Bombyx mori: one gene and its partners. The protein of the gene in region 3 binds, or shares a complex with, the protein of the main gene of each other region. Links are inferred from orthologs where the notes say so. Each region holds a gene or a part of one and is shown on either strand. Other genes may lie near its edges. The genes, in order: GPI transamidase component PIG-T, phosphatidylinositol glycan anchor biosynthesis class U protein and GPI transamidase component PIG-S.

The links.
Region 1: the proteins of GPI transamidase component PIG-S (region 3) and GPI transamidase component PIG-T are in contact, whole or in part, in a cryo-EM structure (PDB 8IMY), measured with the Homo sapiens proteins. The link is inferred for Bombyx mori from reciprocal best matches to the Homo sapiens genes PIGS and PIGT. Residues at the interface, in NP_149975.1 of Homo sapiens: Thr9, Glu12, Val13, Gly16, Ala19, Ala20, Phe23, Thr230, Pro238, Lys239, Tyr244, Ile247, Glu248, Val251, Gln256, Val270, Asp271, Ser272, Gln273, Ile274, Tyr276, Tyr277, Met279, Ser309, Arg310, Ser313, Ser314, Ala315, Ala316, Phe513; in NP_057021.2 of Homo sapiens: Pro26, Arg27, Val63, Ser64, His65, Tyr66, Arg67, Lys71, Gln75, Lys79, Tyr80, Val133, Gly136, Lys191, Leu193, Pro194, Cys195, Ser196, Lys198, Ala199, Glu270, Pro271, Pro273, Leu274, Tyr526, Ile529, Cys530, Cys533, Val536, Ala537.
Region 2: the proteins of GPI transamidase component PIG-S (region 3) and phosphatidylinositol glycan anchor biosynthesis class U protein are in contact, whole or in part, in a cryo-EM structure (PDB 8IMX), measured with the Homo sapiens proteins. The link is inferred for Bombyx mori from reciprocal best matches to the Homo sapiens genes PIGS and PIGU. Residues at the interface, in NP_149975.1 of Homo sapiens: Ala4, Gly5, Ala8, Thr9, Glu12, Arg15, Arg18, Ala19, Phe22, Phe23, Val26, Leu30, Leu34, Trp35, Thr38, Thr39, Leu510, Leu511, Phe513, Ile521, Tyr522, Leu525, Phe526; in NP_536724.1 of Homo sapiens: Gln118, Phe282, Glu283, His284, Phe285, Leu287, Phe288, Phe289, Cys291, Val292, Phe293, Ile295, Phe299, Tyr300, Ile302, Pro303, Ile306, Lys307, Lys309, Glu310, Thr417, His418.

What each region holds. Positions count from the first base shown.
Region 1 is NC_085111.1:7,583,280-7,587,180, forward strand, and holds GPI transamidase component PIG-T, read left to right. Parts: upstream 1-1,151; 5' UTR 1,152-1,383; coding exon 1,384-1,549; intron 1,550-1,646; coding exon 1,647-2,936; intron 2,937-3,115; coding exon 3,116-3,336; 3' UTR 3,337-3,401; downstream 3,402-3,901. UniProt on the Homo sapiens protein: Component of the glycosylphosphatidylinositol-anchor (GPI-anchor) transamidase (GPI-T) complex that catalyzes the formation of the linkage between a proprotein and a GPI-anchor and participates in GPI anchored protein biosynthesis.
Region 2 is NC_085111.1:9,170,807-9,174,820, forward strand, and holds the start of phosphatidylinositol glycan anchor biosynthesis class U protein, read right to left. Parts: upstream 2,805-4,014; 5' UTR 2,644-2,804; coding exon 1,880-2,643; intron 1,318-1,879; coding exon 1,046-1,317; intron 798-1,045; coding exon 544-797; 3' UTR 1-543. UniProt on the Homo sapiens protein: Component of the glycosylphosphatidylinositol-anchor (GPI-anchor) transamidase (GPI-T) complex that catalyzes the formation of the linkage between a proprotein and a GPI-anchor and participates in GPI anchored protein biosynthesis.
Region 3 is NC_085122.1:2,213,905-2,217,989, forward strand, and holds the start of GPI transamidase component PIG-S, read right to left. Parts: upstream 2,803-4,085; 5' UTR 2,623-2,802; coding exon 2,589-2,622; intron 1-2,588. UniProt on the Homo sapiens protein: Component of the glycosylphosphatidylinositol-anchor (GPI-anchor) transamidase (GPI-T) complex that catalyzes the formation of the linkage between a proprotein and a GPI-anchor and participates in GPI anchored protein biosynthesis.

The DNA of each region.
Region 1 (3,901 bases), on a different chromosome or scaffold from region 3:
TTTGATTATCTAGACTTAATTAACTTTTAGATAACTTTCGATTAAGTACTCTAGTAGGATTAATCTAGAGGAGTTATTGTTATTCGAAATTTTATACAATTGTACGTTCATACTATCTTTTAACAGTAAATTGTTTGTAATATAGGGAAATTAAATAGCTTACAGAGAATTACAGCTTTTTATTTAAAAAAACTGTTTTCTCTCTGTATGAAAAGGTCTTATCGATTAGAATGCTGAACACAATCAAACGTTCTTTAATATTTCATAAGTACTACCGGGAATTTCAGCGATTCTAAACGATAAGATTTTTTCATAAAGAGAGTTAATTATAAAAAATATTAAAATTACTAAAAAAGCCACCTGGTGGGGGGTAGGGAGACTAATAATCGACAGCAGCGACGCCTGCTGTCCCGGGCTCTAACTAAAGCAAAAATAAAAATGAGAGTTGCGCATCTATCTCAAATATATTAAGTGTATAATCTATGCCCGAACTGTCAATGAATGATCGTAATAAACAATCATAGACCTTAGGTTTCCTACTTCAGTGTAAACAATTAAATGAGTGACATTTTCAGTAGATACCGTAAAATGGGGTGATTAGGGATCGAGAGGTGAATGGGGAAAAAACCAGGAAAATCTTTCGACGCGCAATACTAGTTTTTTAATCGTTGCAAAATCTTCCATTTTTTGTAGTGTAATAATATAATGAGATGAGATGATATGGGATGAAATATAATCTCAGTAAAATTGTGGTCATTTACTGAGACTTTTTCGTTGGACTTTTTGGAGAATCCCGAGAAGTGACGTCCAGCGACTTTGTTTCATTTTCCCACATTTGTGCACTTTCACAAATATTAAACAGTTAATAAACCACCATCATTACACATTTAAACCTGAAGAAACACCAAATAGACAAAATAAAACAAATCACACAACTTCATTCCTCGCGTTCCCGCCAAAAAGTCCGCTTTACTCCAATTTCCCCAGTATTGCTAGCGTCAATTTCTTTTTTCTCTTTTCGCCATCAGATCCTGGTAGACCCATAGAGTTACTACTCTAAGGTAGGTACTTACTTGTAGGTACTTATTAACTCCATGGGTAGACCTATAATATTATTATCTATGGAGTTTATTTCAGAAATTATATAGAACAGACAAGACTGTATGGGCTTAGATCCCCTTGCCTTTCCTAATAACGAAAAATTGGACCAAAAAAATATATATCTATGAAGCTAGATTGCTATTATCTATGGAGCTAGATAGATAAAGTTAAAAATTAAAAGCCGATTTGCAAAGAAATAAGAATTTAATTATGCTCTTTGAATTAAATTGCAATATATGTATGTGTTAGGTATAATCAAATTAAAAGACAAATTTAAACAGGATGTTTAACTCGAAAAACTTTCTGTTTTTTATTGCCGTATTCATTGAGACAATTTTTAACGCTAATGGTGATTTATTTAATGAAGAGCTATTTATTAAACCTCTACCACCGGCACACCTTTACACATATTTTCAATTTACTACCTTAGTAAATGATAACCTGTCATGTAAGTGCAGTGCTCACTATTTAGCAACTATGTTTTTGTATGACGGCTTTTTTATAAACATAGTTTTGGATATTTATTTTACAAAAATGTTTTCCAGCCGAGCACACCTATTTAGCACCTAGGTCTTTGGTGGAAGTGTTGACACGATTCCAAGTTGATGAACTGCATTTCACACTAACCGAGGGGCAGTGGAGGCATAATCATTGGGGTTATCCTGTGCTTGATGCAGCTCCTGGAGCAGAACTATACGCTTGGTTTTCCTCAGATGTGGAAAATGTTGATACACAATGGAAAAAATTAAGTTCCACCCTTGCAGGACTGTTCTGTGCATCTTTAAATTTTATTGAAGATTTCAACACTATAACACCTCAAATGGCATTACAACCGACCGGTGCTATACCACAAAATCCTAATATAACATCACAGTTACGCTATGCTTCTCTGCCTAGAGAAATTGTATGCACAGAAAACTTAACACCATGGAAGAAACTTCTTCCTTGTGAATCTAGTAGAGGGCTTTCAGCATTGTTAAACTCAAGAATGATACACAATACCAATTATCATTCTATTGGAGTTCATACAAGAAAAGTGTGTTCATCTAGTGATTGTTCAGTAGTGAGCCTAGAGATAAAGCAAACGGTAGCTTTGGTTTATGATTCTAAGATTATTCGAACCACTGATTGGTCTTTTACTAAATTATTTGGCCAAGGGTTGCCTGGTGGATGCCCTCTTGCATCAAGTAGCAAAGTGTATGTAGATATCACCACCAATGATACCCAGCCATTCCTTCTATCTCCAGAGCCAGAAAAGGTTCTACTGTCACAGCGAGGAGGCAGTGAAACAAAACTTGCTCTGTACACAATTAAACCTGAAAACAAAATGACTACTATTGGAGCCAAATATATCAGTAAGAAAGATTTGGTTCTTATGAAACTGCCCCCACTTTATTTCAATCGTTATGTATTAGGTTATGGAAAGGAATTTGGAGGTATTGTGACTGAACTGACCAATACTTTTTGGTCCTCCATTGATGTTGTTGTATTGCAGAATGCGCCTTGGTGGTTGCCTATTCAATTAAGCTCTTTAAGAATCAACGGGGAAGCGTCAAGTGAGATGGTGTTAGCTAGGCATTATTCACCTGGGCGTAGCAGACAAAAACCTTATCACTTGGAGTTACTGCTGAGGCTACCACCTAAGTCAGCAACTAAGATAACTATTGATTTTGAATTCGTATTCTTAAAATGGCAAGAGTATCCACCAGATGCTAATCATGGCTTTTATGTTGGGTCAGCAATAATAACTGCTAATTTACCAACAGCAAGAAATTATACTAGTTTACCAGGGACTGCAAGCTTATTTGAATCTTCAATTAATGCATCAAAACCATGTAAGCAAAAATAGATATTCAATTTTGACCTAAACTACATTGTAAATAGTTTTTGTTTTGTGTTCCTAACAATAATATAACTTCCCTAGATTTTGGTACAATTTAGTATTTTCCCACAAGTACATTACAGCATCAGTTCATACAATTCAGCAATGTCTAACTGCATTTTTTTTTTCCAGGGTATCCTGCAGTATTTCGTACTAATGGTGTGATGGTATCATTACCAACACCAGACTTCAGTATGCCATATAATGTGATATGTCTTGCTTGTACAGTTGTGGCCCTTGCTTTTGGACCTCTGCATAATATTTGTACAAAAGAATTAGTTCTCAAAGTTGTTGGTTCTTCTGTTACTTTAAAACAAAAGATTATTAATTTATTTAAAAAGAAAAAGGAGTGAAATTTTCATAAATTTGCAATACCAAATAAATTGTATAAATAAAATAAAAAAGCTTTAATAATTAATTTATTCTGTTTCACATAAGATATCTATAAATAAAATCCTATAATTGGAATCTCAGCTAGAGGGAATAAGCCCTGATAGGAGGAACACTTTAATTATTAACTTAGAGTGAAGAAAATCGTGAGAAAAAGGAAATAAAAATAAGTCTCTCTCAGAGGAGCTCAATAACAAGCATGGACACCTTTTTTTTTTCTTTTTTTTTCTTTCGGGTAGAAGGCCGAACCTCCTACGAGGTCCCCGCGCCTAGGTGGCGCGCGGGGTATGTGAGACTCAACGATCTGCAGGTGTTGAGAGCAGATCGCGGGCCCAAGGGTTTTAGGTCCCACCCACTAAACGACTCCCCTGCACTCTTACACCCGACGTCCGAAATCCGTCCGGGGTCAGAACCCGTTCAGAGTAGAGGGGTTCCCGCGGTCAACACTACAACCAGACACGCGGCGCCACCCCGAGGACGCCCGACCGACGGGTCGTCGAGGCGATAGTCGACGACCAACGACGTCAG
Region 2 (4,014 bases), on a different chromosome or scaffold from region 3:
ATATAACAGTCAAATACAATATTAATAACTTTAAAGCAATATCAAATATGTCTAAAAAACAAGTTGTAACGAAATGAACACATGAGCTAAAAAATATTTCTTTCTTCGACTAATAAAGTAACTATACATATTAATTATGAATATTGAATAGTACTAAGTGACAGTCAGATATAGAAAATATTTTAGCTGTACTTAAAAGATTGTATGCATTTTATCATTAATTTAGTTACAGTCATTAGTTATACAAGTCTTTGCTTCTTGTCTTATATTATAATACCCTAAAATTACTAATTTAAATGCAGAATTGAATGAATGTATACTGTCTCAACTGATCAACATACTCTATTCAACGAAATGGTGATATGGAGATGTTACTTAAGAATGAAAAAATTTTTTGGTCTTCAATATGTAATATATTACTGCACAAATGTAACATTCAGACATCTGCATAACAGTTTTTTTTTTCTGAATGCTAAAGCTACACATAAGAAGTCATTGTACAAGTTTTATGCATATTTCTGTCATTTCAGTTTACAGTTGTCATTATCGCAGAACTAATTTGGCAGGTTTTCCATCAATGGTCCTCGAAGATCCATTCTTAAGAGTATATTCTCTTTTAATATACGCAAACAATAAGTCAGTTATAAGGAATATTTGTGCTGTTGCAAAAGATAAGGTGACACCAAAGAAAAAGTTGGCATTAGCTGATCCAGAATATATCCACAAATGCCATACTGTCGGTCCCAAAGCTGAAGTAATGATGAATGCACAGGCAACAATAAATTTTTGTTGCATAACTGAAAAATATATATAAAGATTATGAGTAAACTCAGAAATTATAAAAATTCATATTTTTCTATAAATAGCTCTTATGCTTTATCTTTTTTATTAATAGCTGAATGAAGGGCAATAAAGAATAATTTAAATAAAAAATTTATTTTTTAAACTATAAGAATTAGCGATAAGAATTATATGGAAATGAAGAGTGCATCATAAATTTTAAAATATTTTTCTTCATTTTATTATCTTATATAATAGCACTTACATGTAAAAAGGTGTTTCCACATTGGTATGAATGCCATATAGAAGCCAACATCACCCACACAAGGGTAAGATCTGAATACAGTTGACAGTGCTAATAGCACAGTCACCAATAATATTGGTTCCTTCTTAAATCGCAAAGTCAATGGTACTATGTACAGTATCAGGGCGTTTATTTGGAAAGCACATACAAACAGTAATCTAAAGTGCTCAAACATTTCCGTGAAAAAGTACCAAAAAAGTCCAATATTTGGTTTTAGGTCTGGAACAGTCAATCTGGAAACATGTTAAATATGAAATTATGAGTATACATATGTTTATATAATTCGATTGACACTTTCAAAGAAATTCAAAATCAACTACTCTTCTTTTATTTTATTGCTGCACTATGTATTTACTGATTAATAGAAATTGTAGAAATCACATTGATAATGAGACTCAATTGTATAGTTTAACAGTAAGTCTTAAGGGACTGCTGGGTAAAAGCTTTACAGTACATAGCCAAAGATGGTTCTGTCTACTGGTGAAAATTCACACACAGAACTATTAATATTAATAATGTACTTTAAAGTTTCTTACAGGCTATTATTTCTATTTCATTTTGTTGTGTGAACAGTCAAAATTTTGTATTGATGACATTTTAGTTACATATTTAAATGGTAATTGTATTCATGACAACATTGAATCTTAACATAGTTCTAACATTTGATACAAGTACATTGGATGTCTTACCATTACCATACCATTATGTTACAAATACAAAGTTAATTAGTTTCTTATTCTATTATCTAGTTTAAAATAAAATTATGACTGACTAATATTAGAAGAAAGTACTTACATAAAACCATATGTATTGTAAACATAATTATAAGAACCATCCATTATAAATGCAGATATATAAACCACAAAGCTCCAACTCAAAACAAAGGCCAACAATGTTTTAATATATGAACATTTATTACATCCCTTGTTCACTTCAGCCAATATCATAGCCGTTGGTACTATCAGTAAGACAGGGTATAATGCTTGATGAGTAGCAAAGGCTAAGAACGCACAGGATATTATCACATATCCATGAGCCGCACCACAAAGTGCTGCAGCTAACAACATATTCTGCAAAACTGTTGTTGTCATCCCAACACAGTTCAATATAGAGTATGGATTAAATAAATAGACAGACAGAACATATTCAGATGTCTCTTTTAACTGACTTTCTGTCATAACCATATCCTTTGATTCCTGAGACACATCTGATAAATATTTCTCTTGACAGTTAAGGAAGATTCTGACAAAACCTCTCGAGGTTTTGTAGAGAAGATACGCAGTGAGGAGGTCCATTGCACTGAATATAAATGGTAGGCTATACGGGACATGTTTTAAAAGATAATGGAAAATCACTAACACTATCGGTGATTCGTGGAAAGCATCTCCTTCGTACGGATTAATGTTTTGGTCGTATAAATAAACACCTTCAATTAACCTCTTCCATGAATTTAAGGGAGTCGCTATTTCTACCCTATTGGATAGTGTATGCCAAAAGTCTGTATGAATAAGCCAATACCTAACTAAGCCGGCTATTACATATTTTACAACCGCACCCATTTTTTGATTAATTACTTATTAATATTTGCAATGTAAAGGACGTATGTGGTACATAATATTGACTTCGTTATATATACTACTTCAATCGTTTTAATTCGTTTTCATCCCAATTACTATCTTTTCTGACTTTTCGTTCGACATTGGAAAGGAAACAAGCCTAACTGTCATTGTCATTGTCACTGTCTTTTTTTTGAACAGAAATAGCAAAGAGTTTATATATTGTTCGAGTCTATTTTCAACCACGGACGAAAGACAACCATAAAACAAAAGTGAAAATTTATTTATTGCACCAGGGAATATGTAAGATGGTCTTGTAAAAACGTAATCCTTAGATATTTAATGGATAAATATATATTAGATAATAACATGCACTATATTATATTAGTGGACCCCACCATGTAGATTATTGTATCACCGCCATCAGGCCATAAAATCTTTATAAAAAGGAAGTCACATTCTTGTCTAATAAGCTCTGATGAACAATGCTCGCGCTCGTTTTCTTTAGCACATGATCGGTGGAAGACCTTCCCTTGCTATTTGTCACCTTAGCATCTTGATTGTAGAAATGGCGAACCCGAAAAAATTGTAGCGTTCTAAGTATAGAATTAAAGCCCCGACGTTAAGATTTTAGTTGTAACATGTATATTATGTTACGCCCTGGGGTTCGGGATAAACAAAATTTCCACCGAAGTACAAATCAAAACTATACTCAATATCTTATGGCGATGGCAGCTGTGTGTTGCCAGGTCGGTTAGGTCAGATATAATATAATAAGACATTTGGTATTTTCTCTGTATGTAATTTTGTAAGCTGCTTGTAGGTGGATCTTAATGTGTATTATAAATAACAAACAAAACTCTATTTCTCATCATATATTATTTATTTTCTCAAAATTATTAATAATTACAATAATTACTGTGTGCTATAGTGCATACTACACTAGGTAGTTTCAGCTGAAAACCTGACACTACAAAAATAAGCGACGATATAATCAGGCTAACCATAGACTCGTCTGGGCTGCGTCTGGCCATACACGAGTTTCCAGGCTATTTTTCAGAGCCATCCCATACACCAAAATTGTCCAAAAGTTGATTGACAATTTAAAAATATATATTACTAGGTTGAAAATGATTTAAGTATATCTGGCACCGCGAACCGATCAGTATGTTATCGAAACCTGCTTGAAGGATATTTTATGGCTCAAAATGCATTTTCATATCCTATTTTCATATTAACCAACCAGTTATTTCATAATTAAATTTCTAAAAACTTTTTACTATTTAAAATAGGTGTATCTTGAAATTAGGCAGTTTGTTCGACTTAAGCTGTCATATTGTCAGTAAGATGATCCCAAGGTTTAACATACTGGCA
Region 3 (4,085 bases):
TAACTACCACTGTTATGTGCGTAACATATCTTTCATTTGCCATACTGCCGTTGCCAGCCATATAATCTACAAAAAAAAACAACTTACATAAGAATTGGCAACATATCTATCGCCATATTCAAACATCCCAAAGCAATTTGTGAGCAAGAGAAAATAAAAGCAAAACATATATTGGCATACAGTCGTGGCATCAATTACGTAAATTATAGTATTATTAAGGAATGCTGATGTAGAGGATTCCGAATAGATTTAAACAAATTCATCGCCTTGAGCATCCCGAATGGATCATGAAATGTTTTAGCTCTTACTGTAAATACCATTTAAAGAAACCGAATTCTTTTTTCGTAAAATGAATTGAGAAATAAATACCCTATTCTGTGTTCTAAATGCCAGTTTTTTTGCGTTATCGATAACGTAAAAGTTGGAACGCTTGCCTACGTTTGCCGCTAGGGACGCTGTTCCAACTGCATACAAATTTGAGTTAACTTTTACGCTATCGAGAACGTTAAAAAACTTGCACTAAGCACACCGGTCGACAAGAAACGGGTTTCTCAGCAGCAAACGGGAAGCGAGCACTGTACAATTTTAAAGAAAATTAGTAAGTACATATGCGATAACGATGGTAAAAAACGGGTTGAATTTAGCTTTTATATGTTGTATGCTATAATATTTTGTATGTTGCGCGTATATATATATTTTTTTTTTCCTACCTAAGCTGAGAGCCTTGAGAGGCTATTTCCGCGTAACCCTAACGTTTGTAGGTGAGCTCGCGGGGCTCAAACCTGATGACGTTGCTAACACGAACCCTAACAAGAGCTGTGCTTCGCAGAATCTACCACCGGATCGGAAACGCGACCCACTGAGAAGATCCGGCGAGAAACTCAGTGGGCTGTGTCTGAGAGTTAATTTGCTCGTCGAGCCCTTCGTCGCAAGCGACGGGTTCGACGAGAACGGTGACCGGTGCTTGAAGTACCTAAAAGCACCGTTAGTGCATCGGGAGGATCCGACATGACGTGTTTTGGGCGACGTCGACTGCCTTCCATTCTGTCCGCAGGATCGGGAATGTAGTTACCGGCGGCCACGATGAGAGGGTTCTCGTGTCGTGCCGTGCGCGTAAAGAAGCGGGAATGCAAATGGGTCGTTCGTGAGTTCTAAATTCAAAAATACGTTGTTCAGTAAACTTTTTGAAAATCATACACCTTCAAGGAGGATTAATTAGATTCCATAAAGAAGGCGTCACAATCATGTAAGCTCTAAATCTATAACTGTTTTGGAAAATAAGAACCACCACCGCTAGCCCTGAAAATCACAAATCTGAGTATCAGGTACCTATTTGTTTCTCTATTTGCGTCTCATAGTATTTTCATGTTTTTGAGAGTAATATTAGCTACATTGGCAAAATATTTGATTTAGGTACATTAGATAAAATGTTGATAATTTAAGCACCATAAAATGTAATGAAAAATGTTTTAGCTATGCTGATGCAATAGTAAAATGTACAGTAAATAATTTAGTCAACCATGATTACTGCAAATAATTTAGTCAATCATGATTTTAACTTATTTTTTATTGCCTAGTTCGATGACTGAGCTCATAGCCTAAATTGCTTTTGATTAGTTACTGGAGCTTAAGAGACATGACAACAGAATACCGCCACACGCTGTGTCATGAGCTCAAAGCCTCAAAGGCTCACACGAGACCCTACTACTATAATCATGAAAAATATTACTTGCTGGTTTGATTTTAATATACAATGTATTTTTTCTTCTTGGCAGTCATTTCTGAACACATTAATTACATATTTCAATCTTTTTTGACCTGCGTGCAGTTGTTCGATTCGAAACTGGGCATGTTATTTTTGAGGTCACTATATCTTTTCGCCTCCCACCTTGAGATTGAGACTAGTCTCAATTAAGTTAAAAAACATAAAATAATTACTAAAATACATAAATATAAAAAGTATAATAAAAGCCCAAAACAGAAGGAAGAAAAGGAAATATGAGAATAAAGTTATAAAAGATCATTCATCATCATGAGCTCATAGACATCCACTAGATAGGCCTCGCACAAGGGTCACCACAATGATAGGTCCTGGGCAGCCCGATATGAGAGAGAGAGAGGAGTGAGTGTTGAGATGACGGCTGATAGAAGAAAATGGAACAGAAAAAATCGCTGTGCCGACCCCACCTAGTGGGATAAGGTGGAGACAAAGTAGAAGAAGCCAGTTAACCAAATAATGAGTGTATCATTTTCTTTAAAGACAAAAATCTTGTTGATATTAAACGGTATTTATTGCACACACATAAATTCTGATTTTTAACCTTAACAAATTGATCTGTGTGACGAGGTCAATATATGATATCTGTTATTACAATGAAATATATAATTGTAGCTATTTACATCAAATCTAAATATTTGTTAGATTGCTTACCTAAAGCATTTACAAATTTATAACCTATAATTTAAAAACATTTTATGCTTATTATCCTGGCCAAAATTGTCTTTATTTTGTCCCAGAATACATATATGTGTATAAGATCATTTGTATTATGTAAAATTACTGGGTTTAAACTACAAATATGACTTACCATCAGCATTGCTTATATTATTTTCACTTCCCATTTTCAACACTGGCCGTGTTTATTGATTGCTAACTATTACGAGGTGTATTACAATCACTGTTCACTATTTTTCCTTCAAAATGAATTCAAAGTGTATGTTATAAATCGAAAAAATACCACATTTACTGTTTATCAGCTGTTTTAGTAAACAAATTTATGAAACTGACATTTATTTTTGTTATGTTGGTCATCGTTTTTTTTTTGTACAATTTTTCCTTATTAGGAAAGGCAAAAGGATCTAAGCCCATACAGCCTTGTCTGTTCTATATAATTTCTGAAATAAGGTCATTTGCATTATCTTTTGATTGTTATTTTATATAGGGATTTTATAACCTGGTATCTAAGACCTTTAGGTCAAGTCTTATTTTAATTAAATTCTTAATGATAATATTATGAAGTGAAATGAAATGAAGTTGATTAATATGAAACTTGCCATGAAATGAAGTGAAATGAAATAAAATGAGTTGAGATGATATGGTATGCAATATAATCTCAGTAATATGGTGGCCATTTACTGAGATTTTTTCAGTGGACTTTTTGGAGGATCCCGAGAAGTTACATCCAGCGGCTTTGTTTTATTTTCCCACATTTGCGCACTTTCACAGTTAATAAACCACCGTTATTACACATTGAAACCTGAAGAAACATTAAATAGAAAAAATAAAACAAATGACACAACTTCAGTTCTCGTGTTCTCGCCAAAAAGTCTTTTGGTTATGTATCTTCAATGTTCAGAATACGTGCATCAGGGAGCAATAAGAAAAAAAAACGTGTGAATTAAAGTGCGACAAAATATTTTTTGTCGTAATTGAATTATTTTTAACTCATAACTAATGTTTAACACATTTTTTGCTGAGATGACTGAACGAGCTTACGGCTCACCTTGTGTTAAGTAATTATCTAAGTATGGAAATCAATCACTGCTGGAATGCACTCTTTGATAAATGTGAGGTCTAAGTTTCAACTGTATAGTAGTCCAACACTAGAAATTGAAATTTATTATTGATTCGCAGCAGACAATAGACTATTTTCAATAGAATTTATTTAGACAGACAATAGGTATTTATTCATTTAGGCTCTCAAAAGCACCAGTATGAAATTTCACAAAAATACATTGTGACACATTGATGCGTGTAGTTCATTACATGTATAAAATACTTAAAAATACATCTTTAAATCACAAGATCTTTAAATCATTTTTTGGTAATCGAAAGGGAAGAATTATTTTCTGTATGTTAAAAGTGAATTTATACCTTAAATCATATTCATAGCCCTCAAGAGACTGTTTCATGTTAGGGAGAAACTTGGCTACGGCTCCCGTTGTTGGTATTGATAGGCGATTATTCAAATAAACCACAAAAATCATTAATTACGATAAAAAAATCCACGACATTATTCTACATAAGTAAAAAATAATTCGCACAGTCTGCTCAATACCTTACTAATCTGTCTCACTACGTGAAT